4 linked regions of the Arabidopsis thaliana genome follow. The protein of the gene in region 2 interacts with the protein of the main gene of each other region in a pairwise test. Each region holds a gene or a part of one and is shown on either strand. Other genes may lie near its edges. The genes, in order: AT1G50290, AT1G14990, DiT1 and ABCG16.

The links.
Region 1: the proteins of AT1G14990 (region 2) and AT1G50290 interact in a protein complementation assay, tested with the Arabidopsis thaliana proteins (one large-scale study listed by BioGRID).
Region 3: the proteins of AT1G14990 (region 2) and DiT1 interact in a protein complementation assay, tested with the Arabidopsis thaliana proteins (one large-scale study listed by BioGRID).
Region 4: the proteins of AT1G14990 (region 2) and ABCG16 interact in a protein complementation assay, tested with the Arabidopsis thaliana proteins (one large-scale study listed by BioGRID).

What each region holds. Positions count from the first base shown.
Region 1 is NC_003070.9:18,625,718-18,632,462, reverse strand, and holds AT1G50290 (uncharacterized protein), read left to right. Parts: upstream 1-4,010; 5' UTR 4,011-4,200; coding exon 4,201-4,605; 3' UTR 4,606-4,912; downstream 4,913-6,745. Other genes in the region: TAF15 (TBP-associated factor 15), read left to right, coding at 801-905, 1,016-1,344, 1,461-1,658, 2,254-2,337, 2,714-2,795, 2,909-3,032, 3,449-3,645; AT1G50280 (Phototropic-responsive NPH3 family protein), read left to right, coding at 6,171-6,233, 6,319-6,745.
Region 2 is NC_003070.9:5,164,413-5,171,606, reverse strand, and holds AT1G14990 (uncharacterized protein), read left to right. Parts: upstream 1-3,342; 5' UTR 3,343-3,455; coding exon 3,456-3,574; intron 3,575-3,727; coding exon 3,728-3,809; intron 3,810-3,904; coding exon 3,905-4,021; intron 4,022-4,082; coding exon 4,083-4,112; intron 4,113-4,202; coding exon 4,203-4,253; 3' UTR 4,254-4,576; downstream 4,577-7,194. Other genes in the region: AT1G15010 (mediator of RNA polymerase II transcription subunit), read right to left, coding at 1-392; scpl50 (serine carboxypeptidase-like 50), read right to left, coding at 1,660-2,994; CPN10 (chaperonin 10), read left to right, coding at 4,953-5,057, 5,144-5,283, 5,626-5,677; AT1G14970 (O-fucosyltransferase family protein), read left to right, coding at 6,690-7,070.
Region 3 is NC_003076.8:4,057,682-4,066,288, reverse strand, and holds DiT1 (dicarboxylate transporter 1), read left to right. Parts: upstream 1-3,999; 5' UTR 4,000-4,369; coding exon 4,370-5,458; intron 5,459-5,687; coding exon 5,688-5,909; intron 5,910-5,999; coding exon 6,000-6,362; 3' UTR 6,363-6,438; coding exon of another isoform or gene 6,439-6,439; 3' UTR 6,440-6,710; downstream 6,711-8,607. Other genes in the region: MYB46 (myb domain protein 46), read left to right, coding at 1,350-1,630, 2,789-3,350; AT5G12850 (CCCH-type zinc finger protein with ARM repeat domain-containing protein), read right to left, coding at 7,101-8,607. UniProt on the Arabidopsis thaliana protein: 2-oxoglutarate/malate translocator involved with DIT2-1 in primary ammonia assimilation and in the re-assimilation of ammonia generated by the photorespiratory pathway.
Region 4 is NC_003074.8:20,414,527-20,423,122, forward strand, and holds ABCG16 (ABC-2 type transporter family protein), read right to left. Parts: upstream 4,385-8,596; 5' UTR 4,027-4,384; coding exon 1,816-4,026; 3' UTR 1,657-1,815; downstream 1-1,656. Other genes in the region: AT3G55080 (SET domain-containing protein), read right to left, coding at 28-138, 243-306, 765-859, 1,188-1,304; ABCG17 (ABC-2 type transporter family protein), read right to left, coding at 5,826-7,814.

The sequences.
Region 1 (6,745 bases), about 13 Mb from region 2:
ATTAATAAAGACATGTTATATTTTTAGTGTAAGAAATAATTTTTCTAAAATTTCACTGTCTCACAATCTATACATATAACTAAAAAAGCAAGGATATATAAATTCAAAAAAAAACTAAGAATCTAAAACAACAATAAAAAACAACTCAAGCACATTCGTTTTTCAGATGAACTAATATAGTTGGACTTTTCAAAAACAATTACAAAACATATTTATGTTTCAAAACCTATGCATTCAACTTTACTTTATATAAACAGACATTATATAAAACAATTAGTAAATAGTAATACGTAAACCCGCACGTAGTGCGGGTACTCATCTAATTTGTAAATTAATAATTCCTCAATTTGCACCCAAAAAAAGAATTCCTTAACCACGAAAAAAATAAAAAAACAAAATTACAATTTAAGGGGGAAAGTTATATGAAATTGCAAATATAACCACCAAACAAACAATCGACTATCGAGGTTACCCTTAAGAAAATCTTTATTCGCAAGATCTCTCTCTCTCTCTCTCACTCGACGCACTTTAGAAAGAAACCCTAGTCCGACGACCTCTCCTTCGCCGCTGAATCCTCATCGCTGGTCAGATTTCTATCTATCTCGCTCTTCTATGTTTCCCTATCTCGTTGGTCAGATTTCGAATCTTCTTTTTGTTCTCATGGTTTTTGAGCTCAAAACTTTGGGGTTTCAATGTCTCGATGTTATTTCTTAGCGAGGTTTCAATGTTGGCTAAGTGAAGTTTTGGTATTGTCATTTACAGATTCTTGGCGGCTTTCTTTTTGATGAAATTGGATTACGATGGCTGGATATCCTACTAATGGATCAGTCTACGTTTCAAATCTCCCCTTAGGAACTGACGAGAATATGTTGGCTGACTATTTTGGGACCATTGGGTTGCTTAAGGTATGGTATTGGCCAGGTACTAATTGTTGCTTTTGTTTTGACGTCATTGCAATCTTTTATAGGTCACTAGATTTTCGAGTTTCTTACATTTTTTTCTACATTGCTTTTAGAGAGACAAACGAACTGGTACTCCTAAGGTATGGCTGTACCGGGATAAAGAAACTGATGAGCCCAAGGGAGATGCTACTGTTACCTATGAGGATCCGCATGCTGCTTTGGCTGCTGTTGAATGGTTCAATAACAAAGATTTTCATGGAAACACCATTGGAGTTTTTATGGCCGAGTCGAAGAATAAAAATGCTGGTGATGCAGTTGAGTTTGTTGAATTCGATGGAGGTGCTGAGGAAACAAATGGAGGTGCTGGAAGGGGGAGGGGTCAGGCTGATTCTTCGGCAAAGCCATGGCAGCAAGATGGTGACTGGATGTGCCCTAATACAAGGTCTGTGATGTGATATCGGTGAGGAGCTTCATCTAGCTCTTGTTTCCGTTAATTTGCTAGTTTTTATATATTTTATAGTTTCTAGCAGTAGTGTTCTCATACTCTTTCATTGGCAGTTGTACAAATGTGAATTTTGCATTCCGTGGGGTTTGTAACCGCTGTGGAACTGCTAGACCAGCTGGTGCATCTGGTGGCAGCATGGGTGCTGGTCGTGGAAGGGGTCGAGGTGGAGGCGCTGATGGTGGGGCCCCGGGGAAGCAGCCCAGTGGTGCTCCTACTGGTCTCTTTGGTCCAAATGATTGGGCTTGTCCAATGTAAGCATTCCGATTAGGTTTGAAATAGTTAGTTCAGTTTCAGAGGATAATGAGCGTTTGGTACTTGATTAAAACACATCGCAAGAAACAATTTATATTCAGTAGCAAAAGAGAACATTCAGATGGCATATAGCGTTGCTGGATATAAAATTAATTTGTCTTATGTATGGAAGGAATATAGCTTGTATATCAATGCTTTTGATGATGTCAGTTGACTCTTTACTTAGAAAGAAGTGATGGCCCGCTCTGCTGTGCTGTGTCTCTTAAACTGGTCCAAATTATGTGTGGAGGCACATATTTTTTCCTTCTTTTTTGAATGTTGATTCTAATTTCGTAATTTTCCTTCAGATGGCTGTTAATCTGAAAAATGTAATTTGAAACGTGGGTAGGTTGTAGTCTTGATCCTTCTAAGAAGTTATATTTGTGAAGATAGGCTGCCTTCAATTTTCTGTGTCTGATACAAAAAATGGACTATGTTTTAGTTTAATTGCAAGTTATGCTATGTGTCATCGAGTAGCTTAACTAAGAGGCTGCACTGTGTGAATGTGAGTTCTTATGCATAATGCACTTTTTCTTTTTGCGCTAATTCTTTCAGGTGTGGCAATGTCAACTGGGCGAAACGTCTAAAATGTAATATCTGCAACACCAATAAACCTGGTCAGAATGAAGGTGGTGTGAGGTATGACTCAAAGCCAGTGATAAGATTGCCTTTGTATTGTTATCTTGCAATGTTCGAGCTGAGGATTTGGATTATAAATGATTTTACAGTGAATGTAGGAGAGGTCGTAGATTTTCTGTTCGATGTTTGTAGTTTTGTTGTCAGCAGGGTATATTTATTCTGCTTTTAGACAGGGCCTAATAGATACCTGGGAAAAAGTCTCAATACTCTCTTCTGCAATTTGAACGAGTGCTTGTTTTCTTCGACAATTGATTTATCCCACTTGTAATGTTTTATTTTGGCCAAATTAGAGTTGCATTAAGAAACATTAAGGTTTGAGTTTGGAAGGTTGTTTTTATCTAGACCAGTGCTTATTCATTTTTTTTTCTCTAAATAGGGGAGGCCGTGGTGGTGGTTACAAGGAATTAGATGAACAAGAATTAGAGGAAACGAAGAGACGCAGGCGTGAGGCTGAAGAAGTAAGATATGCTTTTCCTGAAGAGTTCTTTGTTTTTTGTTTTTTTGTTGCAATTCGGATGAGCTCTCAGTTTTTTGTATATTCCATTTGACTTATACGTCTAATATATTTCAGGATGATGGTGAAATGTATGATGAGTTTGGGAATCTAAAGAAGAAGTACCGTGTTAAAACAAACCAAGCTGACACCAGACCTGCTGTTGCTGCTGGTCGTGCTGGGTGGGAAGTCGAGGAACTAGGTAAGTTCTGTTTAATTTTAACTAATATGAACTAAATCTATGCAATCATCAAATAGGTTGAGCTTATGAACAGAACCTTTCCACTATAATAGAGATTTATTTGGCTCGATCTATATCTACTCTCTGTGTATAGTCTTCAAAGAAAGTTTCTGCTTGTCATCTAGACACTTGAGTGAAACTTAACATATATGCGGGGAGGGATTTGTTTGAAATTTTACATTAAGCTTGCAGCTAACTTGCCTATAGCCCAAGCCTAGTGGGGATCTCCAATAAACAGTGTTGTTCCTTGTTAGAGTTTTCTTCTTTTCACTGAATAGATATAGAGGAAGATAGAAAAGAATGTTTATTGCTGCTTCCCCAAAAATAGAAAGGTCATGATCCAATGTAGTTGTTCATAATTTATATGAATGTGGCAGGTATTGATAAAGATGGAAGAGAGAGAAGCAGAGACAGGCAAAGAGACCGTGGTAGAGATCATCACTACGATAAGGATAGACGCAGAAGCAGAAGCCGAGAGAGGGAAAGAGGCAAGGAGCGTGACTATGACTATGACCATGATCGGGACAGAGACAGAGACTACGGTCGCGAACGTGGAAGCAGGTACCGTAACTGAGAGATTACTCATAAGTGTTAGGGTTTAGTTTCTCATCTGTTTTGTCGACTTACTTTTACAACGGTATCATTACAATGTCTTCGCCTTTTGTTTACTTATTGTGTGAAGTGAAACTCATTTTGGTTTGAATCAATGGCTATTGTTTTTCACTTGTTTTGGTCTGATTATGTTCTGAGAATACTCCATGTTTATCGTTTCGAAAATTGGTAATTATGGCAAAACATGGTTAGCGACGTCAATTGCTAATTTAGACGTGTATTAAGTATTATTTTGTCTTTTGTAGTATTATTTTTAGTTGTCCCTTTGTTTTTTTTTCCATCGCCAATCATTTCATCGCTGTATGATTTTAATGGGAATAAAAAAAATAGAACAAGAAGATTTTTGTGGACAATATAGTTTCTGAAACTATAATAGGATAAGAAAAAATTAAGCTTATTTGTGGGGATATATATTAATGTCATATCATTGTCATAAACATGGTCGGCAAAACTTGGGACGGCAGTTTACCAGAATAATCCGGTCGACAGAATTCAACAGTTCCTCTCTCTAAAAGATATGAAGGAGATTAATTTTGGCTTTGTTAGCAAAGATGGCCGGTCCTCTTCTGGCAAATCCGGCTTTTACAAGCGGTTTTGGCCGGCTTTTATCCTTCCTCCGCCGTTCGATCGGTTGTTCTTACCGATTGCTTTAGTTTCTTTTTCAGTTTTTCTTTCAATAATTTCTAAAGATTTCAATTGGAGATTAATTTTAGGTCATAATAGCCTAAGATTAAGTTTTCGGATTTGTATCTTTAGAAAGTTTGATTTGCAGAATTACCTCAAGTATGAAAGGAAGTTTTGTTTCCAGCATATTGGGATTGCCTGTAGCCGTTTCTACATGTTTATGGAGCTTCGATCGATCAAATTTGAGGAATACTCAGATTTTTCTTTCCTCATTACCTGTTTTTGCCAAATCTCTTGATTGATGATTTTGGAATTGAATTCTCTGTTTGTGTATCCTCCCTTCTCTGTTTAGCAGTTTCCGGTGAGAAAAAAACAAAAATCGATGTTTGCCCTTTTTCGACGTTGATTGTGTTCACCGGATCGGAGTCTTTGACGGCACAGGATGACAGGAACGTTTCATCGCTTCTCTTGCAACACGTGTCTTGTTATACGATCGTGTTTTGTTAAAGAGATATCCTTCCTTTAAAGAAATGTAACTAAGTGGACCTTTGTTGGGCTGTATTCTGTGGATCATTAATAAACATAATCTTTCCAGTGAAAAAAAAAAAAAAAAACATGGTCGGATATGGGAAATACGATGAAAAAAGCTCGTCATGGACTCGCACTTAAAACAGGAAAATCTTTTTCGTCTAGACCCCACTTATTCACATGCACTACGACATAATTCCAAATTCTTTTAAAAAAAAAGAAGAAGTTAATAGAAAGAGTGACCAAAGTACAGTATATGATGATATTTATAACATACAGTTAAACTTCTATAAATTAATAGTCGATAAATTAATAACCTTTATAAATTAATAAATTTTTCCAATCCCGAATTTGTACCAGTGTAAAAAGTGACACAAATCGATAAATTAATAAGATAATAACTTTTTTGAAAGTTCTATGTAAATATATGGTCCCATCAATATCATAAATTAATAATTGTATAAATATATCAATTATATATATACATTATATGTAGGAATTTTTCTGAAATATAATTCTAATATTTTTTTGCTTAAATTTGTATTTATTTTTATTTAAAATTTAGTTCTCGTATTTTACTGTATCAAAAACTTTTGGTGTTGTTTTCTAAACATGATATTATTGTTTAGTTGTAATTGATTCTTGAAAGATATTTTCTATAATGAAAAAAATCCTATAATTTTTTTTGAAAAGTTACTAAATTAGGAAAATCTCTCTATAAATTAATAAATATTAATTTATCGATAAATTAAAACCTCTCTAAATTAATAAAATTTTGTAGTCCCAACATTATTAATTTATAGAGGTTTTACTGTATGTTGTGTTTAGTAATGCTGTATTAATTTTTTTAGTGACCTTTCAAACACTTTGAAGTTTTGATATTCATGTTTGAGTTTGAAAAGCTCATGTACAATATGAACCGAATACTTGACAGTGAAAAATAATTATCATAATTTCTTAAAAGTCAATCCTTCTCAAAGATATAGGAATCAAAATTCTACAGCATTCTTTTAAAAACAACATAACAAGACAAACAAAAGAAATCAATTTATGGGAATTTGAGAGACTTTGGAATTTATGTGGTTTTATTATACTAGCTCAACATAAACTTTGTCTTACTTACCTCTAATTTCTCAAACTTAGATTCAGTTTATATATTTTTGTGCATTTTACAGGTGTAAATAAAGCCAAATGAAACACTATATATATCCACTCATTTACATGTGCCCACTATAATTATTGCTCTATTCAATCCAAGAAAAAAACACAGAGGAAGAACAGAAAAAAGCTCACAAAGTCACAAGACCTCAGTAGGCTTCCTAGTTGTTCTATGAAATGTCTCCTCTCAACGATCTTAAGATCAATCTCAATGGCCAATACACATTCTTCCTCAATCAGGTAAAGAACCAAACCTAAAACTCAGTTCAAAAAACCACAGTCTTGATTATGCTCTGTTCTTAATTCTCTATGTGCTCTGTTTTAGAACGTGATTTCAAAGTACTCTGGAAGCTTGAGGAAGATGATTAAACAGAGCAAAAAGAAGAGAAACAAGAAAAAGAGAATCATCACTATCGAGATTAATGATTTTCCAGGAGGACCAGATGGGTTTGAGCTGGTTTCAAGGTTCTGTTACCACAACGGAGAAATCTTAATCGACGTCTCAAACGTCTCGACTTTGTACTGCTGCTCTGTTTTTCTAGGCATGTCGGAGAAGTTCTGTTTCTCTAATCTCTTCCTTCAGACAGAGAAGTTTCTAGAAGAAGTGTTCTATGGGTCTTGGAGCGACATCGTTTCGTGTCTCAAGAACTGCGAGCAAGTGTTCTTCCAAGCAGATTCGTATGGTCTTGTAGATAAACTCATTTTCGCAGCTTTGAACAAAATCTCTCAGAATTCAGACGATTTTTCTTCTT
Region 2 (7,194 bases):
AGATCAAGGATGCGAAAAGCAAAAACGGCGGAGGAGACGGGAACGCTGACGAGGAGAAGAAGACACGTTCCAAACGCGACGCTGGGACGAGAGTTCATGAGAAAAGTTTGGAGAAGAGTGAGTGCATCACATATAGTAGCGTCGTAGTTGCAGTAGAAACGTTTCTCCCATTGCATCCAATGAGAAGGAGGTTCAAAGTTGCGTTCAACCATCTTCATCTCATGGATTCGTTTCCTAAGGACCACCATGTTCTCGTCCACCGTTCTTCCTCCTCTGTAGTAGTCTGCACACACGGTGGTGGTTCGTCTTCTATTGGTTCCGGTGGCGATTCTTTGTGATGTCCTCAATGGATGGAACCTGAGTGTCGATGACGAGATCAGTATCATTTCCATTTTCTGTTGCTTAGGAGACACAATTGGTGGGATTATTTATAAGTTATATTTGGATAATATTTAATAAAAACGGCTAAGGCTGCTTTAGCGCGTTACCTTATCGTAATATTGATGGGGTCACCATCGATCACGTTTCCTTACAATTTCACTTTTGTTTCTTCTCAATTTCAGCTTTACACGTCTTTTACAAATTTGTCGACACGGCCAAATAAAAAAACATCAAACATGAAGCTCCGATGAAAAAGATGGATCGGTGTTAAATTGGAGATATCATTAAATGTCAATCCCATTAACGTACTATCCTCATAATTTATCAACCAATAATTATATGTACATTGACCTCTCCTTTGTTTACATCCAAAAAACGTACGAATCAATCCATATGATTAATTAAGGAATCATGGGGTACTCTCATACTTAACATTAATTTAAGAAATAATGGTGAAGTGATGTCTATTTTTTTTGTTTGTTCTAACAATGGTGAGGTCAAACGATGGACATAGATTATACACAGTAGCCCAATGGGCTTAATAGTTACCTAACTCTGAACCCAATTTTTTCTCGGCCCAACTAAAAGGATTATCGTCCGCCCTAACTCTCCTAATTTCGCACTATAAAGTTGCGAGTTTCACAGGTTTTAGCAGGAGCCGTCATTAGGGTTCCAATGAATTTTGTTTCAATTTTTCGATGTTCTGAATATCATTCTCTCAACAATTAGGCGAAAGATTGATTTTCATATGATTAGTAGTTTTCTTTCTGTTTTCCGCGAATGTTTTTCCGAGAAAATTGAATCGGGAAAGAGGCAAAAAACAGGGGAGAGATTTTGATAAATAGCTCTGAAATACCTGTAGGTTTTCTACGGGGTGCCCTTGCTCTTCTTTCCCTAATACCAAAATGGCTTCATAGTACGGGTTTCTTTGTGCTTTCTCTGTGTTTTGTGTATTTTTTATACTCAAATCACTTTGAATCTCATTCACAATCCCGCCTCCAATCGCCATTACATGTTTTTAAAAATTCTTTAGTTTATGCTTCAAATCTCCTTATTCTTACCAAAACAGTTTATCTGAATCAATCCTTAAGTGTATACTGTATGCTAACTTTTTTGAGAAAGTTTAAGACTTCAGGAACAGGCAAATGATAAACTAAGTAGCAAAAGTTACCAATTCGTACTAAAATGAACTTGTGAACATGACGTAACAAATCTAAATCCAGAGTACAATTAGAATCTGAATTGAATCTTACAGAACTAAGTACAAGTACACAATATTTAGATTGAATGGTATAAGCTCGACGAAGTTGTCTGCTTCACATCTTTACCACCGAACAATCCTTTCCCCAAAACCCAACCTTCAATCATATCCCTTGAATTCACAGCTTTATCTGTCGGAACAAAATGACCAGCTCCTGTAACCGCCACGTGGCACAAATTCCCCCATCTCTGAACATAACCAGCGACCACACCGTCTTCATCCTTCCACACACGCCTCTCCGCCGTCGAGAACATTCCCAATCCTGACCAGTTCATAGTCTTCATCCACTCCTCCGTCGAAACGACGCCGTCTCTTAGATCAAGCATACCTTGATACAGCAAGACTTGAGTCCTCTCCAATGCGTACTCCACCATGAACTTTACGCTCTTCATCACGTCTGCCCGCAACACATCTTCTACTTCATCACTACATTCCTCAAAACGAACCGTTTCACTCACTCCCAAAACACGTTTTGCTTCTCTCTGGTTCAAGAGGTCCACCACGAGGTCTGTTCTGTATGGAATCGCCCGTGCCGTGTTGTAGAGCGTCGCGAGTCCTGTCATGTTACTTAGTAGCGTCAACAGTTCGGTCCTCGCGTCTGCTGCTTCACGCCATTTCTGGGACTTCACGAGAGCTACAGATATCTCCTGCGCTTTTTGCAGTTCAACTCTCTGTTTTGCGTTGACCAGACCCGAGTAGTAGACGTTGACCGCATGGGTTTGAACCTGGGTCACCGGGTCGGTCAGCCCGTTTCCAATGGCTAGCCCCTTTAGATTCACTTTCCCATTGGGTTTCTCTTTAAGGATATAGTATCCAATGGCTGGAACGTACTTCCCGGCGTAGCTCTCTCCAGTGAAGTAAACCGGTCGGTTTTCGAAGCTTGGGTTTTGTTCAAGGAACTCCACGAGAGCGGCGTAAAGATGCTCAGCGACCTGTCTCTGATTTGTGGGTATGTCTTGTTGTGAGGCTGCGATGCTGAATCCGACTCCTATTGGGTTATCCACAAAAAGTAGTCCGAATAGACGGTTCCATGCGCCGGGGTTGCGCTCGAGGTCTGTGGCGCGTGAAACTACACGCCAGGGACCGAGCTCGTAAAAGTTGCCAATCATTGAAGAGCAGCCTGGCCCACCTTGGAGCCAAACGAGGAGCGGAGTGTCAGGAAGAGGTGTGGTTGGCTCTTGGGCTTCGTAGAAGGCATAGAACATGGACGAGCCGGGTGCGGGTTTAACCGGGAGGTAGCCAGATTTAGTGGGGAGAGCTTCATCGGGAAATAGCGGTGGCTGAGGAGACTCAACGGAGACGGCGAGGAGGAGAGTGGAAAGCAATATGAAGAGTGTAGTGGCTTGCTCCATTATTTCCACTAATTGGTGACGCCTTTACATAAAGATCCCTTTGTATTATTTCATTTATTTCATTATTTGACTGCAAAACATTACGTTTATGTTTTGTCTTGTATAACATGTGAATTTTTAAATGTGTAACAATAACATTTTTGTCAAGACGTGCTTGCTTACTAACCTAATTGCATTAACATGTGAGTTTTTTAATTTAAAGGTTTTTGTTTGTAGATGATTTTCCATAATGTATATTATTTTAAATTTATTGTTGCCAAAAGAAATAAAATCTAAAAGTTTTATTGGGCCGAAAAGAGAAAAAGGTCAGATAGGCCCATAAAAAGTTGGACAATACAAAGCGTTTACAATTTGTCAATTGCAAATTTCGTGAGATGCTTCTTCTACTCGTCATCTCTGTTTGGTAAAGTGATCACAAGGTGTTCGATATAATACCTGAAAGAGTTTCCGAAGGTGTGAAGATGATGATCTTGGATGTTTGCTCAGAGGTTATAAAGATCCAGAAGCTACGACGGGCTGTCTCTTACGCCGGATTCTACTGCTTCACTGCTGCCCTCACATTCTTCTATACAAACAACACGTAATGTCTTTCGTCCGATCTCAGTTTGCTTCTTTTGGTTGTTCTTTCTTTTCAATATCGGAATTCGCAGATGATTTCAATTTCTGGGTTCTTCTCTTGGTTTCTGCTTCAGGTTTAATTTGATTTAATGTTACTGATTCGAATGTTGTGTAGAACAAGAGCAGGATATTCCAGGGGAGATCAGTTTTATGCATCTTACCCTGCTGGCACCGAACTTTTGACCGACACAGCTAAGGTTTGTCCTTGATGACAATTTTGAGTTGTCGTTTACAGTTTATATAGTTGATTAGTTCTGTGTGGAACTGATGATTGGGGTTTATTGGAGTAAAGCTGTACAAAGCGGCGCTTGGGAATTGCTATGAATCTGAAGATTGGGGTCCTGTTGAATTCTGCATAATGGCTAAGCATTTTGATCGCCAGGGAAAATCTCCATACGTTTACCACTCCGTAAGTTTCTTCAATCTCTTTATGATAATCTCTGTGGTGCGGATATTTTAGTGTTGTAAAGGTCAGTTTCCATAAGTCTAGAATCTTGATGGTACTGACTTTGTGGTGCCATTGATAGAAATGTTTGTCGAATCATGTGGGGTTAGAACCAAGAATTGAGCTCATTTTATTGTGAATGCAGCAATACATGGCTCACCTTCTATCTCAAGGCCAACTCGATGGAAGTGGCTAGTGGCGCCAGCTCTCTTTGTTTCAGCTTTGTGCCTAATCTTGTTATAGCAAATTCGAATCCTGGTATCTTGGAACATTTGTATGGTGTTTGTATAAGTCCGGAACCGTACCATTGGCTTACATGGATTATTCAGATTTGTACTCTGAAAATTAAGAGCATGTAATTCCCGCAGAGGCACAATGTAATAAACATATAGCATAGCAAAGCAACAATCCGGGGAAAAACTTTGGTTACCACCTTGAAAGAAATGGGGAAAACTGACAGAGCAAGAAGCTTTCCATCATCAGCAGAGACGTTTGATAAAAGAAAGGTCAAGATTTCATTCCACGAAAAATCTGCCGAAAATAAACATCTCATTCTGGATGTGGTATATGAAATGGGATTGTACATGGAGTTTGAAAAACTTGGCAAAGAGAATCATGGAAGGAACTAACCATTTGAGCTGCAAGGTCATACAACACTTCCAAGAATTTATTTAGACAAACACAAATGCGACTGGTTTTTTTTAATGAGTGAGGCCCATTAAAGAAATAGTATGATATTATAGGCCCAAACAATCCCAAAACCCTTGGCCTTTTTCTGTCGCGCTAAACCCTACGATCTAGAACCTTCCGTCTTATGTGTCTCTGCCCCAAATTAAAAACTCAGAAACCCTAGAAAATTCCGATTCATCAACTGAGAGAGAAGAAGAATTGAGAAATGATGAAGCGTCTGATCCCAACGTTCAACCGCATCTTGGTGCAGAGAGTCATCCAGCCCGCTAAAACCGAAAGCGGCATTCTCCTACCTGAGAAATCCTCCAAGGTAAAAGAGCTTTGATTTCACGATTTGATTCTTCTGATTTTCGCCTCTTAGATCTGAAAAATAAACATATTTTTGGGTGATTGCAGCTGAACTCAGGCAAGGTGATAGCTGTTGGACCTGGATCAAGGGATAAGGACGGGAAATTGATTCCGGTCTCTGTGAAGGAAGGCGACACTGTTCTTCTTCCAGAGTACGGTGGTACACAGGTCAAGCTCGGCGAGAACGAGTAAGTTAAACCCGCTTCTTTCTTATTATTGCCCTAATATTCTGATAAAATTCTGATCTGATCTAATTGAACCTTTATGTTTAGCTAATCATGTTCAGGAATCATTATCCATTAATTAGATTAATGGATGGAACTAAGGGAATTACTTGTAAGACTGTGAAGATATTGAAAATTTTGTAACAGAGGATTTAAAAACATTTTGATCAATGTTTAATAATGCCAATTTGAACACCAGATTTACATATTGATTGGTGGGTTGATTTTAGAAACGAATAAGAAATTACAAATGAAGAAGAATTTGACTCAAAGTGAGTAACTTTTGTGTTTGTGTGATGGACGCAGGTACCATCTCTTCCGGGACGAGGATGTTTTGGGAACTTTGCACGAGGATTGAAAAGGCTAAGCTTGCCAACTTAACCACGAGGGTTCATGTTGGTGTTTGTGTTATGAGGAGAAGTCATTTATAAATTAGTTTATCTTGAAGATGTGGTTGGACTTTGTTGTCGTTTATCATTGAATCTACCTTTATGAACCTGTCTTTGAATTTTTACAAATGGGCATCAATCACATGGATAACCCAAGTGTTGCATCTTCTCATTTTGTGCTTTTCCGTAATCTGTGGATGCTTTTCGTTTACGTTTAGGCAGCAACTTCAATAGCCAATGTAGACGATAGCTTAGTTGACTTTGCTTATTCATGATCATGCTATAACAAAAGAAATAAGCTCATTTGGCCGCATGGCTTTTTTTATATAGCATCTCCTTCTTCACATATTGACAACTGAATCAGGTCGAGAAGTAGGTCCATGTCTATGCATTCTGAAAGTTGTGTCTTTTGATTTCCTTTTCACAATGGTTGGAAAACTACTAATTTTGGATTTTCAGTTGTTTAACCCACTCGTTTGGATGATAAGACAACTGTAGTATATTGTCTTGTCGCACCTTCAAATTTAGTATAGGTTGGTTGATTGAAAATATTTCATCTTTCTAACCAAAAACTGAAAAATGTGTATGAAACTCATTGCTATTTTTGGACAAGTCTCTCTGCCAATACAAATTAGACCATACGTAGAAACCGATGCATTGAATTCTCACGTTTAACAATAGTTTTCCATAGAAACTGAAATCAAAGAATTGAAGAAAGAAAAAGACTAAAGAACTATAACACATAAGAAAAGCCAAATAAATACTCAAGTACATGTGATTAATCGATCATGCTTCCACCGCACGAGCGCATACATACATAACATAAATAAAATTTCTCTCTCTTTTGCTTACTTCACTCACAGTTTCGCCGCCGGGATAAATCCGTTCAATCGGCGTTTGCCACCTGCCATTGTTACAAGCAATGCATTATATCGTTAATGGCGTAGCGCATTGAGAAGAGAGAGAGAGAGCAGGGAAACAATGATTTCCCAGGTGGAGAGAGATCTGTCGATTCAAAATCGGCTTCCGGGAAGCGATCACACTACTCCTTCTCCGCCAACATCTCCTCATCTCTGCCGGAGCCGGTCGAAATCCTCCTCTGTCTCCGGGCAACAGCAAAGTCGGAACGTCGCTCACCGTCTCTCATGGATCATTTTATCTGTTCTTCTCCGGCGTCAGGGAATTCTCCTTTTCGCTCCTATCATCTACATCTCCTGTATGCTTTTTCACCTACACGCGGCGTCGTTTGATGCCTCTCCCATTATCCACCGCCGTCCTGCTCCGGGATCCGTCTACCGGAGCCCTCAGGTTTACGCTAGGCTTCGCGGCGAGATTGAAGCCGATAATACCACGGCTGATGCGGTGAGGTTTGCCTCCGTTTTATCCCGCTTGTGATATCGTTTTGAGAATGTGGCCATTGTCGAACATAGATTGATCCAATTAGAGTATAATATCTAGGAGAACGTATAACAATGTTGAACATAGA
Region 3 (8,607 bases), on a different chromosome or scaffold from region 2:
ATTCAAGTTACAACTTAAATTGGTTAGCTGACGTCTTTTTTCATGCATATACAAGAGGTTGCATTTGCAAGCTTCAAAAGAGATTACACCAAAAACAATTTCCCCTAAAGGTTAAGATATATCTTTGGCCTTCAATTCGACATTAGGAATTATGTTCAAGATTCAAGATTCAGTACTATTCTAACTTCTTTTGTACTTTATCTATGGATGTCTTGTTTATGATTGTATAAAAAGTTTTGTTTTTTCGGATGGGTGGGCTATTAATATTATAAATCATATAATATGAGTGTTCTGTAAAAAAATAAAAATGATATGAGTGTAAATCGAGAACTTAAAAAATCATGACACACGTTTATATATTAAAGAAAAAACGAATATAAAATATATGGATAAAAGGAGTATAACATTTTCTTCATTACAATAATTAGATTTCTTCAAGTATACGTGTTGGTGCGCGAGAGGTGGTTGTGTGAAGCCGAAGCAAAACTTCTTGCTCGCTAAGCCTCATATAACACAAAAAAAGGGTTCTGTGACACACGTCGATTTATTTTATACAATTGAAATATGCTTACATACGTATACAATTAATTAAATAACACAACATTTGCTTACCTTGAAAATGAAGACATCTTTGAATAGAAATAGACATGCTCATGAATATATATATTAATGTTATATACTATCATATATCAATGTTATATATCATATATATACACACGTAAGGTTAACGAATTAGATATGTCTGTAATGTATACCTTGTGAATGAAGAAACTAATAGAAATGAGTTATATATTCAAAAAGAACAAGAAAAGAAGAAAATAAAATTAAGAACAAGTGAAGAGCACTTCTCCTTTTTTTCTTTGATGTTTTGCATATCGGGTCTTTTTCAAAACCGTTTTCGTCCATGACCGATCAACTAACGTTTCTTCATTTCGTCAAATTAGTTATATACAAAACATACATTTGTTGTTGGTGTATTTTATTTTATTTACCTTACACAATATATGCCGACAAAAAAAATGTGTTTAATTTGAAAAAGAGCCAGGGTTCGGATGTTTTTCTTTTATGTTTTAAAACAAAGCAACACTATATTATAAATATAATATATACAATAAAAATATAATTAAGGAATAGAGATTAAAAAGGAAGAAGTGCAAATGGTTTTTCTTCCCAGAATTGTAAGCAAACCATACAACCATCCCTTTCTCATCATCATCATTCTCCCTTCATCAAGTCTTCTCTCTTTTCTCTCTCTATTATAAAACAAACTTCACTCGTTCACATCAATGGATCCTTGAGAAAGACAAACAAATTGAAGAGAAATAATAACAATTAACTCAACCAAAAATATGAGGAAGCCAGAGGTAGCCATTGCAGCTAGTACTCACCAAGTAAAGAAGATGAAGAAGGGACTTTGGTCTCCTGAGGAAGACTCAAAGCTGATGCAATACATGTTAAGCAATGGACAAGGATGTTGGAGTGATGTTGCGAAAAACGCAGGACTTCAAAGATGTGGCAAAAGCTGCCGTCTTCGTTGGATCAACTATCTTCGTCCTGACCTCAAGCGTGGCGCTTTCTCTCCTCAAGAAGAGGATCTCATCATTCGCTTTCATTCCATCCTCGGCAACAGGTTTACATTTTTACCATCATTTTGGTTTTGACATAATAACAACAACTAAGAGATAGAATAAAATATGGAAACTAGTGGCCGGAAGATAAATATAAATGTTCTGGCAAACTAGCTTTTGTCTGGTGAGTCTTGTTTTTAAACTTGTGTAGCTTAATTTGTTTTCGGTTAATGGGTACAAAGTTAAAGCATAGAAAAGCCAGTCAACTGATTTTAAAAAAAAAGTCCACCCTAAAACGACCAAATTGTCAAATTAGATCTTGATAACGTTTTCACCATATTTTATTTGATTTTTTTTTTCTACCAAATAAATAAGAAGTGCAGAGCTATCTATTTAGAGGTATAATATCTATGTTTGTTTTAAGGACGAGTTTTCAATTATACTATTACATTAATCAGTAAAAAGTAATACTATATATATAAGATACGTTAACATCGTAAAATGTATAATCAAACTTACGTGGAAGGATAAAGTTTGGTCGAGTTTTCATTGGTACGATTAGTAACTGTTTAAATTCAAAGGGAAGAATGATTGTGTACGAAGAAAATTGACCCAAAAGAAAGTTGAATTAGAATAATAGTAGTAAGAATGGAAATAGACGCATAAAACCAAAATAGGTATGAGTACATTCACATGTAATTATGTGAGTGGTCAAAGTTCGTTGATCGTGGGTTTTAAGACTTAGAGTGCGTCTTATGATCTTATCTAACAACAAACACTTATTTTAGTGAAAGCGGCTTTTGTCACTTTACACACCTTTTCTTCTCTTCCTTAGGGTTTTACTTCAACTTTCATCTTTGTAATTATATATTTATTAGTTCCTTTTTTTGTCACTTTCTCCAGAAATATACGTTCTAGTGTTTTTTACGCAGGACATGTTTCCTCTCTATTTATATATATATATATATATATATATATATATATATATATATATATAGATTCAATTCAAAACACGCAGTGTGTATAATGTCATTTTATTGCTTAATATGATTGTGCAATTTTATAATTGTTGATATATTGCCTCTTTTTCACGTACTCAAACATAAAAAACATGAAGAACGGATCACTCTCTAATTCCCATGCAAACCATGCACTGGTATACATTTTACATAACATCATCTCATTAAACTATTCTACTCTCTTATTCTTCGATTTCATAGGTGGTCTCAGATTGCAGCACGATTGCCTGGTCGGACCGATAACGAGATCAAGAATTTCTGGAACTCAACAATAAAGAAAAGGCTAAAGAAGATGTCCGATACCTCCAACTTAATCAACAACTCATCCTCATCACCCAACACAGCAAGCGATTCCTCTTCTAATTCCGCATCTTCTTTGGATATTAAAGACATTATAGGAAGCTTCATGTCCTTACAAGAACAAGGCTTCGTCAACCCTTCCTTGACCCACATACAAACCAACAATCCATTTCCAACGGGAAACATGATCAGCCACCCGTGCAATGACGATTTTACCCCTTATGTAGATGGTATCTATGGAGTAAACGCAGGGGTACAAGGGGAACTCTACTTCCCACCTTTGGAATGTGAAGAAGGTGATTGGTACAATGCAAATATAAACAACCACTTAGACGAGTTGAACACTAATGGATCCGGAAACGCACCTGAGGGTATGAGACCAGTGGAAGAATTTTGGGACCTTGACCAGTTGATGAACACTGAGGTTCCTTCGTTTTACTTCAACTTCAAACAAAGCATATGAATATTTTTACGTCATCTTATTCTTTTTTCTATTGCGGTTTATACTCAAGATTCTTAGCCACACACACATAAATGCAAATATATATACATTGTTAGAGAGTATTTTGTATTTCGAATAATCTTTTCGTACTAGGGCTTGAGCCTTGAGGTGCCATGTAATGATTAGTCAATGTAAAACATATATCCTATAATAAATAAATAAAAGAAATAATAAGCACATACATTCTTTAATATAACAGGGGCAAACACTTGAAGAATTTTGTAATCAAGTAGCAATGGAGAAGATTGAACTAATTAAATGAAAGTTTTTCTGATGTTATATCTTTGGATAAAACTGAACATTTTGTTTTATTGAATGTACTTTAAAACATTTGGTAACTTTCTTAGACATTCACATTAGAAAGTATCCTCTTACATAAAAGAATCATGTATTCAATATTTGATGTCACACCTTACTCTAAACAAACAAATCAAAACTATGAACCATATAACACTCAAAGAAAAAAAAACGAGAGGCCGCTTAAGGGTTTACACTAGATTTAATTCCAAGCGAAGCCATCTCGGCCCATCTTGGACAATGTAATGAAAGCTACTATTCTATTGCCAGTTAATCTTTCATTGGACGATCCACTAGTAAACGCATAGTTTAAGATCTTTCAAAACCAAAAAACAAAGCTAATAAATCAATAGAAAATTTGTTGAGTGAAGGATTTTGCTTTGTATGTTTCGTCGATCTAAAAAGACCAAACCCAAACCCAAAATGGCTTTTCGTAAATATTTCAGCCAATAGGATGAGGTGACTGACCCACCAAAGACGGAGATCTCTATTTCTCACCTCACGATCTCATCTCATCATCACTCTCTCTCACTCTTGTCCGTATATTCCTTTTCTTAATCTCACCGTCCGATTCCAATCCAACGGTCAACATTTATCCAACTCTCTCTTTCCTCTTCTTACTCATTTCCTTCTTCACTTCCCTCTCCTCTTCACACCTCTCTCTCGCCGACGACGCTACAACCATGGCGTCTCTCGCTCTCTCCGGCTCCTGCTCTCTCGCTTTCCCTCTCAAATCTCGATCTCTCTCTCTCCCTCGTCCTCCTTCTTCCTCTCTCAATTTGACGAAACCTCTCCGATCTCTCGATTCTCGCTTCTCCTTACTCAAATCTCCACTTCCCGTCTCTTTACGCCGGAGATCATCAACTCTCGTTAAAGCCTCTTCCACCGTCGCTTCAGCTTCCTCTTCTCCAACTCCTCCTTTGGTTCCAGCTCCGGTTCCATGGCAAGGAGCTGCCATTAAGCCTCTTCTCGCTTCGATCGCTACTGGTTTGATTCTATGGTTCGTTCCAGTCCCCGAAGGTGTCACTCGCAACGCGTGGCAATTACTCGCGATCTTCCTCGCCACCATCGTCGGGATCATCACTCAGCCGCTTCCTCTCGGTGCTGTTGCTCTAATGGGATTAGGAGCTTCCGTTCTCACCAAAACCCTAACGTTCGCCGCCGCGTTCTCCGCTTTCGGAGATCCAATCCCGTGGCTCATCGCTCTTGCCTTCTTCTTCGCTCGCGGTTTCATCAAAACCGGTCTCGGTAACCGTGTAGCTTACCAGTTCGTTAGACTCTTCGGTAGCTCCTCCCTTGGTCTCGGTTACAGTCTCGTCTTCAGTGAAGCTCTTTTAGCTCCGGCGATTCCTTCTGTCTCGGCTCGTGCCGGTGGAATCTTTCTCCCGTTGGTGAAATCTCTCTGTGTTGCTTGTGGGAGTAACGTTGGGGATGGAACAGAGCACCGTCTTGGCTCGTGGTTGATGCTTACTTGTTTCCAGACTTCTGTGATCTCTTCTTCTATGTTCTTGACGGCTATGGCTGCGAATCCTTTGAGTGCTAATTTGGCGTTTAACACGATTAAGCAGACGATTGGATGGACTGATTGGGCTAAAGCTGCGATTGTACCAGGACTTGTGTCTTTGATTGTTGTTCCGTTTCTTTTGTATCTCATCTATCCTCCTACGGTGAAGAGCAGTCCTGATGCTCCTAAGCTGGCTCAGGAAAAGCTTGACAAGATGGGACCTATGTCTAAGAACGAATTGATTATGGCTGCCACTTTATTCCTCACGGTAAGTGTGCTTCTGCTTCATCGGATCTGTTCTTACTTATGGTGAGAGCTTGATTTGAAAGGTGCTTCAGTATTGAACATTGAGAGATTTTAGCTATTGTAGCTCCTTAGATTAAGCTAGGGCTTTGCTTCTGTTTAATGCATTTGCTTTGAGTGAAAATGTTTGTGGTTTTGGTGTTTTATTACAGAGAAGGTTTTCCTTTTCTAAAAAAGTGTTCTCCTTGACACAGGTTGGTCTCTGGATCTTTGGAGCTAAGTTGGGTGTAGATGCTGTGACTGCAGCCATTCTTGGATTATCAGTCCTTCTTGTGACAGGTGTTGTGACATGGAAAGAGTGCTTAGCTGAGTCGGTCGCATGGGACACACTCACCTGGTTCGCTGCTCTCATTGCGATGGCTGGTTATCTTAACAAATATGGTCTCATTGAGTGGTTCAGCCAGACCGTAGTCAAGGTTTGTTAAATGATTTGATGAATGCTTAATAAGCCTAATGACTTAGCATGCTAATGAAATGTTTTGACATTGTTTGGGTTTTGATTGCAGTTTGTGGGAGGATTGGGTTTGTCATGGCAGCTATCTTTTGGAATCCTCGTCCTCTTGTATTTCTACACTCACTACTTCTTTGCTAGTGGAGCTGCCCACATTGGTGCTATGTTCACTGCCTTTTTATCGGTTTCAACCGCTCTAGGCACTCCACCTTACTTTGCAGCCTTGGTTCTTGCGTTCCTTTCCAACCTGATGGGAGGATTGACCCATTATGGTATCGGGTCTGCGCCTATCTTCTACGGAGCTAACTACGTGCCGCTGGCTAAATGGTGGGGCTATGGATTCCTGATTTCAATAGTCAACATTCTCATCTGGCTTGGTGTAGGTGGTGCCTGGTGGAAGTTCATTGGCTTGTGGTGAGGACCACCATACACCAATCTTCCCATTCTTTTCCTTACTTATATATATAATCTCTTAGAACGGCTTTGAGATTCAGATTTGAGAAGGATTGAAATCAGGGTTATAAGGATTGAGCAGAGTTTTTCTGCAATTTTTATTCTCACTCACACACATTTTGAAGTGTAAGCAATCTTAACTTGCGTCAATTTTGTTTGATTTCTAACTTTACTGTTTCAAAGTGAGACCACCACTTTACTTGATAGTTACTCGACTTCCATAAACGTGTTAGTTGAGAGATTAATGTCTATTAGTCTATGAATCGCTGGTTAAAGTTTAGTGGAAAAAACAGGAAAGCAGAGAAAGCAATAGGAAATGAATGAATCTTATTAGCTGAAACAATATGTTATTATTTCTCATACAGTGTTCTTTGACAAATATGAAGGAGATATTAGAAACAATTGACAAACTGAGAGGATACAAAAAATGTAAATCAGAAATCCGGGAAGTAATAGAGGCGCACTTTGGCCATTGTTACAACAGAGATGATACAATAATTAATTTAATGAGGTGATAAAAATAAGAAAGTAAAGAAATTTCAGAAAGAAGCCTGAAAAAACTGAGCCTTTTAGGGTTATTAGAATCGAAAAAAGCTTACCCGGAGTTTGCTTTTGTTTCCGTTTGCTTTCTTGAATAATAAATAAACGAATCATCAGTTTCACAGCTTCACAGAAATGTGAACCTCTCTCTCGCAGCTGAGGCTCAGCGATCTAGGTGCAGCTGTTCAAGCCACGCATCAAGAATGTCGCTCTCACGAGTGTCACTGTTGTGAGGATTCACACTCGAACCACCTTGAGTCAATGGCCTTGCACCATTCATGTTCACAACACGGTTTCCGTTCCTAGGTGATGAAGAGTCTTTTAACATCTGCTGAGCCCATGAAACATCTGCTTCCCTGTTTGGGTTATTAGCCAAGGAATGAGATTTTCTCAACCGACCTAACTCATCTGATTGGACTGACCAATCCACCTTGCTTCCATGGGTCTGGTCCCAACTTGACCATGGACTTAATGGCGAACCAGAATCAGTCGGCATTAAATCACGGGGCAGACTAGATCCAAAATCACGGGAGCTTAGGCTGCGTGAATGTAGCTGCTGTTTCATTCGAGCATTCATTGGGGAAATAGGCTCTCCGCCTCGGGGTGACGAGGCTTGCTGCAGAAGAGAATGTTGCTCCACATTCTTTGGAGAAGACATTAGATTTGTCTTGATAGGAGAAAGCATGCTCTGCTTATTATTCTGCAGCTGATTAAGAAGCGCGGACTTGTGGGAAGGCGATAGAACAGATGAAACAGCAAGTTGATCAGAGAAACGAGGAGATGCAACCTCAGCTGAGAAGAGTTCCTCCAGATTTGAAGGGTTCAGTGTCTTAGGACGAGCGGAATGATTCATAAAGCGTGGACTGTGCATATCGCCAGCAAGCTGACGTTGCATTTCAAACTCATGCAGCATGCTAAGCTGCTCAGAAGGAATATCTCTAGCGTTAAGAGAAGATCTCAGACGACTCAACTGGATATTGCTTCCAGGAAGATTCAACGCCGGTATGTTCTGCTGAGGCCAACCCATCGATGAATGGGGCATACTACCATTTCCAGAAGGAGATATTGGTGGGGTGAACGAATGTTGAGCAGCAGATGGTGAGCCTGGTAACATGTTCAAAACTGACGCCATGTCCATAGTAGAGGCGGAAACAGCAGACGAAGCCCGAGGAGATGGCAATCCAGATCCTGTGGAAGGGTACAAGGGACGCAACTCCTCATTTGCGTGAGCAAAGAAGCAAACCCTTCGGTTGCAACCCATTCCGTCCTTGCACAATCGTGTTCTGTACTGAGCAGGGTGTAGCCAGCATTCAAAAACCCCATGAGCATATTCACACATATCACCTTGCTTACAGGATCCTTTCTTAAAATCCGGGCATGGAACACACGTATAGTGAAACTTCCTCGGGTCTCTTCTCCTTGCATTCTCACCTGGGTGTGCAAATGGACATTCAGTCCAGTCATGGGAATATGCTCGAGAACATGGGCGGATCTTGAACGAGAACATACGAAACTCATCGGTTGAATAAATCCCGCTTTTGATATCAGGCAATGATGGATCAATTGGGTACTCTTTCTTCTCTGATGCGAAAGTTACATCAGTACCGTGTGGCTTAGTCGGAGAGGATACTGAATCTAAGGAGAGTAACGAGGAACCATTATCAGGGGAT
Region 4 (8,596 bases), on a different chromosome or scaffold from region 2:
TACTCAAATGTTGATGCCCTAGCTTACTTGACCCATTTTCTTCTCTCTTATTAGAACAGCAGCAAGCATTCCGATATTCCCAACTTCATTGCTCAATAAAACTCTAATATCCGAGGGGAGCTCATCTGGAGTTATTTGCTGAAATTTTAAGTTAGAACAACACTAATGGCATAAAAAGAATTTCCAATACTTCTTAAGACACATGATAACAGAAAAGCTCGTTTCAGTAGACAACAATATACCGCATTAAAAGGGACTTTCAACATGCAGTCACCAGCATAGATAACTTTGGAGGCGAACAGTGACCTGCTCAGAAGTTGATATAGTTATTAACATGGTTAGTGTATTTGACATTAAAGATAAAGCATCACACCAGGAGACAGCCTCTGGTAGGAAATGAAATTGGTTATTCTCACAATCACTCATTAAACAATCGCATAAAGATGGAAAACAATCAGATTACTAAACAAGACAAAATAACATGATTCAAAGTTGTACAATGTTTCAACTATTGATGACAAGACAGAACCATATTAAAGAACATCAAGACAAGTCATATAAAAATTAAGCTGCCACAGAAGGTATCAACAAAGAATCTGATCATTACATTGAAAGGGAACTATGAATAGAATTATTGAATAGAGAAAATGTGTCTAACAATCCATATTTTAATTGCCGGTAAACAGAAAACCGAGGTACTCGAAAAACGGATTTTGAAAAATACTTGCAAAGTTGCATCTTATTCAAAACATCATCAAGCCCACCTGCCATAGGTGGATTTCCCAATCGAAAGAGTATTAGTTATCTTTGCTCCAGCAATTCGCTCTAACCAGGGTAAGAAGTTATTGTCCAACGAAGCCTAGATATAAAATGGATAAGATGATCGTAAATCCTCTTTTGTGAGAGACATAAAAGTTCTGTACAACATCTTCTTACATCAATTAGCTCCCAAAATCAACAGTCTGTTTGGTTAACTATAGATAGAAGAAGCTAAAAGAACATAAAGGTTTCATCTTTGGTATCAATTGCTATCAGTAGAGGAGAAACATACATAACTTAGAAAAATTCTTGGAACCACACTCAGGTATGATAAAACTTTTCTAACACTTGAGATAATCAAGCTGTGAACAGTCCATCACATTGATTTCACAAATTTCACGAAAGTCTCAATCTTTCACAAATCAAACCTGAGTTTGGAGCTCTAACGTTAGTTTCCCGGCGAGACTGAAACGCTTGGCTAAAGAGCTAACATTGCGCCTTTGTTGAAACCCGAAAAGCTTCACTGTCGAAATGCAGAATAGCATCTCCAGCCAAACTGGATGGCGCGTGAGCAACCACCGCTCGTATTATGGACTCGTGTTTCGACTGCGGCTAGAGCAGAGCGGCCAGGACCAGACGATATTCTGATGCTGATTCGGTCCGGTTTGTTTCGGTTTTAAATTTCAGATAAATCGGTTTGTTTTTAATTGATTTTGTAGATAGCCTTCCAATTTTGACTTTTTGATACCTTACAAAGTGAAATGGCTTTGAGAGTTACTTGCCTCTAGCAACAGTGTCTGTGTCTCCTCATTTTTCTTCCACAATCTCAATGCCTCTATTTGAAATGTTGCATTAATTTTCTGAGTAAAAGCGATTCATAGGTGCTTTTTGTATTTCCAATTTCCTAAAGAATGATATTTTTTTTATTGATGGCAAAAGTAATACAAATGTTAAAAAGAATACAATTCAAATACACAATCAATCTACGAATTACAAGTAATGAAAAAGAATTACAATATATGTTTTTGGTTTTAGGTATCATCAGTAGTTTCAGTTTCACCTCCTCTTGTTTTTGCTCCCAAGCAACAAACACAAGTAAAACAAAATCCTAAATAGGAATCCGAAACCTACCGTGATAAGCAAGCAGTTCCATTTACTAAGCTGTGTCACTCCTTGCTGCTTCAGAACATCAGCACCCGTCGTTAAACACGTAGAGCTCGATATCCTCATACCTATCGACCGGCTCACAGAATCCAAAAGCCTCAGCTTCATCCCATACGTCAATTCTCCCAAAGGCGAGTTGTCGAAAAGCTGAACACCTCTCACAAAACATTCTGTAGGATCCGAGAACTCGTTCTGAAGAACCGCCTCGTATGGATACTTAACCAGAGAAAGATAATGAAACCAAATCCAATACTGAGGGATTCGATCTCTGTTGATGAAGAAGCCACTGAAAAGCAAGAAGTAAGCTAAAATAGCAACAACGATCGTGTAGCCTAACATCACATGTGGAACGACGCCGGATAAGAAAGTCACGAAGGAGCTTCCGGACCAGAAAGAGGCTAAGATGATTAAGCAGTAGAATAAAAAGCCCATTAGGCCTCCTTCAAGCCCAACAGCCCAAAACGTCGTCACTGCGAAAGCTAAAGAGAGGAAGATGAGCGAAGGGAAGGTAACAATGGCGTGAGAGAGAACGTAGGAGGATCTCCGGTAAGCGTTGTAAGCTGTTTCTCTCATGAAGATGTAACGTTCCTGGAGGAACACGGGAAGAGCATCGGCGCAAGTGTAGAACATTGTTGACATTGCGAATGCGAAGAACCCTAACCGCTCTTGAACTCCTTTTGGTGAATTATCCAATCGCCAGAATACGGTGGCTAAGATGAATCCGGTGACGATTACGGTGGCTAATCGCATTCCGAGTAGCTCCGGTTGTCGTCGGGAGTTGAGGATTGAGCGTCTGGTGAGAGTTTTGATTTCGATCCAGAACGGATTCGCGAATGCAGGGACGGCTAAGGTTCCGCCACCGTGGTTTATGACGGAGGAACCACCGCCGCCACCGGAGACTAGTTTTCCTCTGCTTATGCTGGCGGAAATCGCTTCTTTCAAGGTTAAATTTGGGTTTGGAGAAGCCGGCGGAGTTAGGGTTTGAGGATTGCTCTGTTTCTTCATCTCTTGCCATTTCTTGTTGAATTCAACTAATCCTCTTGTTCCTCCAGCTGATCCTTCGAGTTCTCTGATTAGATCGAGTGCAAACTCCGTTTGATTCTCGTTTTCCGGTATCGGATTACCGAACCCGGCGAAAAAGCTCGGTAGACTCGCCGGAGAACCACTAAAGACGGTGTGTCCACGTGACAAGAAGATAAGACGATCAAGTAAACTGAGAACTCTGTGACTTGGCTGATGTATTGACATTATAATGATACTGCCACTCTCTGCGATTCTCTTCAATACTTTAACCACCATGAAAGCACTTGTGGAATCTAAACCAGAAGTAGGTTCGTCGAGGAAGAGAACAATCGGGTCGTGGATGATATCGATTCCGATCGAAACTCGCCTTCTTTCTCCACCGGAGATTCCACGGTGTCCTTCGTCTCCAATGATTGTTTTAGCAGCGTTTCTTATCCCTAACTGGTCGATTAGGGCTTGAACTCGAAGCTTCTTCTTGGATTTAGGTAAGCTTCTTGGTAATCGAAACTCAGCTGCAAACATTAAGGTTTCTTCCACAGTAAGCATCGGGAAGAGAAGATCGTCTTGCATTACATAAGCTGAGATAACTTTCAGCATCCGAGATTGAAGAGCTTCTCCGTTAAGCGTTACCGTGCCCTTCAAGCTTCCTTTAGCGATCCGATTCGCTAAAGCGTCGATCAAAGTGGATTTACCTGACCCGCTAGCTCCAAGAACGGCAAGAATCTCTCCGTCACGAGTCTCACCGGAGATATTGTCTAGAAGAGTCTTGGTCTTGGAGAAAGATGTCCTCCTCCATGGAACCAGGTCGTGAAAGTCAAGTTTCCGGCGAACAGAGACGTTGTAAGTAAGGTTGTTGAAAGATAGAACGAAAGGAACAGGACGCATAAGATGATCATTATCTCCGTCAAGTGAAGAACCATCCCTGTCAAAGAATTCATGAACAGGAGTTTCGTCACCAACTTCAACCTTACGAACGTCGCTAACGTTCTTGAGAAGTTGGCCTAAAGTCAAAGATGAGCTAATAATCTCCATGGAATGAAACGGTGTTGCATTATCATCTTCTACTAGTATGCGAGACATTTAGAACAAAAGATGGTAAAGTGAGAAATGATGTGCTTACACTTGAAAATCAAAACACTCTTTGCATGATCAAAATGTTAGTCTTTGTTCTCTGTTTTGCTAGTATCTGTGTATAGGCCTTATATATATGAAGTAACGTGTGGAAGCGTGTGAACACGAAGGTTCTATGTGTTGAATGAGTTGCATCATCATGAGAAATCTGTTAGGTTTGTGTTGTTAACAATAATATTCTTAGCGTTTGGATGGAAAATGCGTTTTGGATTTCTCGTATTCAATTAGGGAGAGGTAATGGGATGACCAATAAATCTAGATTTTCCAAGGTGATAATACTAAAATACGTAGAAATGGCTGACACGTGGCGATTAGAATGGAGAATTAGGTGAAGGGTGTTGATCTAACCGAGGTATAGATAGTATATAGGATTGAGATGAGATATTTCTTGCGTTTCACATAGTGTTTGGTCAATTAATTAATGTTTTTAAAAGATTCTTCGAATGTTGGTAGCGATATAGTGATTGTTTGTATCGCAAGCAAATGTGTACCTAGATAAACTATTCACATTTTCTTTTGTTTTCGCGACCGAAGACGATTGCTTATGCTGCTAACTGCCTAAAAGTTGCAAATTGCAATAATTCCGGAACCCCAACTAATTCTACCAAATATAATATAAAAGTTATATTTGATAAAGTAGCTAGATTTGTATTTAGTTTGGGAATATAAACTCCTGTTTTTGCTATGAAAGACTACACACAATCTCCAAGTTCATTTTTTCTATTTCTTGATTATTTAGTTGGTAACGGTGGAACATTCTTTACCAAACTCAAATATTGTGTTTGGTCTTTGTTTCCTCTGTTTTATTCACAGTATACAGAAGCTGATAAAACATTCTTTTTGTTTTGTAAAGGGTGGAGTGGTGGTTTAAGAGAAATATAATAAAAATCGTCAAGTTTGTTGCTAAAATTAAACATGCATGCGAAAATTACACGAGAATCATAAAGATGGTGTCACATTTCAAATACTATTTGTTAAGAAAGTAAAAATAGTGATGTCTTTGATCCATCCAGGGAAAGAAGAAACAGATCAAAAGGTTAGGCAACTTCCTCTTAAGTAGTACTTGGTCAAACTTCTAGTGATGGACACAATGGTAACATGAAAGCAAAATTGACGTACTGGCTTAGCTTCTTGGATTTCCAATCCTAAACTTTGACTTCACTGTTACATCTTTTTGGTTGACATTTTGAAGTTTAGGTGACTAACTTCTACCTACTGTAGTCTTCCTTACCGCCATAAGAAAAGGGTCAAAGATTTATAATACCATCTAATAAAGCTTATAAGAAAGTTGGCTACTTTGAATTCTATTTTCGACCAACTGTTTAGTTGTATATACTTTTGTTTTTAAAAAGTGATGCAATTTGAATTTTGTCAAATACGTTATGTTTACACCGACCACGAAAGATGGCATATAGCTCACACGCACATTAAAACTACTAAATTACTTCACTGGTAGCTTGTGGTATCTTTATATTAGTTTGAACTTTAAACTATTGATGTAGTTCATATTGTTAAGTTAAAAACATTACCAATTGTGAATTAAACTAAAATCTTAGTCCTTTATAAAATTGTGAACCTAACATCATGTAAAATGTTAGATGTACGATTCTTTCTTTAGACAATATATGATAGCTATGAAAGAAAAAAATAATAATTATACAACATATATCATCAATATCTCAAATTCAAAAAGACAATTTTGCTTTCACAATAAAATTTCTGTTTCGGAAAAATTTACATTATGGCGTTCACGCCCTCTTATTCTTGCTTCCAAGCAACAACGAAAAATAAAACAAGATCCTAAAGAAGAATCCCCAAGCTAACGTTACCCACAAGCAACCCCATTTATCCAGCTGCTCAATTCCATGCTGCTTAAGCAAATCAGAGCCCGTCGTCAAACACGTTGATTCCGTTAACTCCATCCCCAAGTAACCGCTCATTGTCTCCAGAAGCTTAGCCTTTGTCGTTTCAGATACTCCTTCCATTATTGTATTATCAAACACTTGGTTTCCTCTCACGAAACAACGGGAGGGATCATCGAATTCGTTGTGCAGAACAGCTTCGTAGGGATACTTTAGCAGAGAAATGTAATGAATCCATATCCAATAAAGATGGATTCGATCACGGTTGACGTAGAATCCGCTGAAGAGGAGGCAGTATGAGAGATAGCCAAAGGTGACCATGTAACTCATCATCACGTTTGGAATCACACCGGAGACAAATGTAACAAACGAGCATCCTGACCAGAAGGACGCGAAGATGATCATAAGATAGTAGATAAAACCTGCCAGACCACCGTTTAGACCAACGAACCAGAACGTGGTCGCTGCAAAGCCTATGGAAAGTGCGAAGAGATGAGGCAGAGTTACTAAAGAGTGAGATATAACGTAGGAAGATCTTCGGTAAGCGTTATGCGCGGTTTCTCTTAAGAAAATGTATCTTTCTTGGATAAAAGCGGGTAAGCCATCCGCGCAACTGTAAAACATTGTGGCCATTGCAAAGGAGAAGAAGCTTAACCTTTCTTGGACGCCTCTAGGAGAGTCATCTACTTTCCAGTAAACCGTAGCCAAGAGAAAACCGGTCATCATGACTATGAAAACTCGTGTTCCGATAAGCTCGGGCGTTCGGGTCCAGTTTATCATGTAGCGTTTAGCTAAGATTACGGTTTCGACCCACCATGGATTTACGTATGAAGGAATAGATCTATATGAAGTAGAGACAAGTTTGCCTCTTGAAATGCTTGCATTGATGGCTTCTCCCAAAGATGATGAGTTATGGTGAGGTTCTTGACTAACTCTTAGCTTCCTATGTTGCCAATTTCGATTGAATTCGACTAAACCTCTTGTTCCTTCGGGAGATCCTTCAAGATCTTTGATTAGGTCAAGTGTGAATTCCGCAATGTTCTCTTTTTCCGGTATGGGACTACCAAATTCCGAGAAGAACAAAGGGAGAGTAGCAGGAGAATCACTAAACACAATCTGGCCAGAAGATAAGACGATTACACGATCAAGAAACTCCATAATCCGACCACTAGGCTGATGGATTGACATAATTACGATGCTGCCGCTACGTGCAATCTTTTTCAAGACTTGCACCACCATGAAGGCACTAGTTGAGTCTAGTCCTGAGGTTGGTTCGTCGAGGAACAAGACTATAGGATCGTGAATAATATCGGTCCCAATTGATACACGCCTTCTTTCTCCCCCGGAGACACCACGATGGCCTTCATCTCCGATCACAGTGTTTTTAACAGTTGTGAGCCCTAATTGATCTATTAGGGTTTCTACTCTGTTTCTTTTCTTTGATTTGCTTAAGCTTCGCGGAAGCCTAAATTCGGCAGCGAACATTAGAGTTTCTTCGACTGTGAGCATAGGGAAAAGGAGATCTTCTTGCATTACATAAGCTGATATGACTCTCAACAAACGAGATTGCAAAGCTTCTCCGTTTAGAGTTACCGTGCCTTTCAAGCTACCTTCGGCTATTTGTCCTGCTAATGCATCAATAAGCGTTGATTTTCCAGCTCCGCTTGCACCAAGAATGGCTAGGATCTCTCCTTCTTTAGCCTCTCCAGTGATACCATTGAGCAGTGTCTTTATCTTAGCAGGGCTATGTCCGAAACGAAGACCAAAACGCTGTTGAAGAGTGACGTTATAGGTGAGGTCGTTGAAAGCAAGGACGAACGGAATGGGCGGTATCTCAGATTCATCAACATCGATCACGGCGTCTCTTTGCAGCATCTCGCCGGAAGATTAACACAAAGCGCTGTGTTATTATTTTATTGTTGGAGTAACCTTGAAGCTTATTTGAAGAAGAAGCTATTCAAGAAAAGGAAATTAGGATTAGACATTATTGTTTAGGAAGCTGCCTAAATAAATATGTAAGTTATCCTAAAACAGATTAGGAAGTTGTCTAAGTTTTCTCTTATAAAAGAGAGATACTAAAGTGTGGTATTCCTAATGAGTTTTGAGATTGAGAGATTGTGAGAGAGCTTTAGTTTTTGAGTAAGTTTCTAAAGCAATAAAAGAAAGAAGTCTTTTATAATCAGAAGTCTTGATCTAAGATTTAAGTTCTTAATTCAATATTTATATGATCAGCGATTCATCTAGAGATCATGAAAACGATTAGAACATTATTAATAGTATCAATTATATCTTCCATTTCTTGAGAAAAACTTATAGGATTGGAAGTTTTCAATCTATTAAAATGTTGTATCATTAAGCTCTATTTTCCATAAGCTCTTAAAGAATTCATATATGTGCTGGAAAAAAAGGCAAGAAAAGAGAAAAATAAAAGTTTTACCTGATGACGTAGTTTCTTAGAAGATCGTTGTTGGTGTGATCACGTAACCAAATTGAATGCATTTAGTTACGGCCCCATGACAGTAGAGATCATAGTCTGTTGCACTTAAAAGACAATTATTAATGGTGATTTGGGGTTTTTGATATAAGAAACTTGTGAGAGGAATTATGCCATAACTCAAGTAGTAATTAAATTACAAACGTTGAGAAGTTTATGAAGC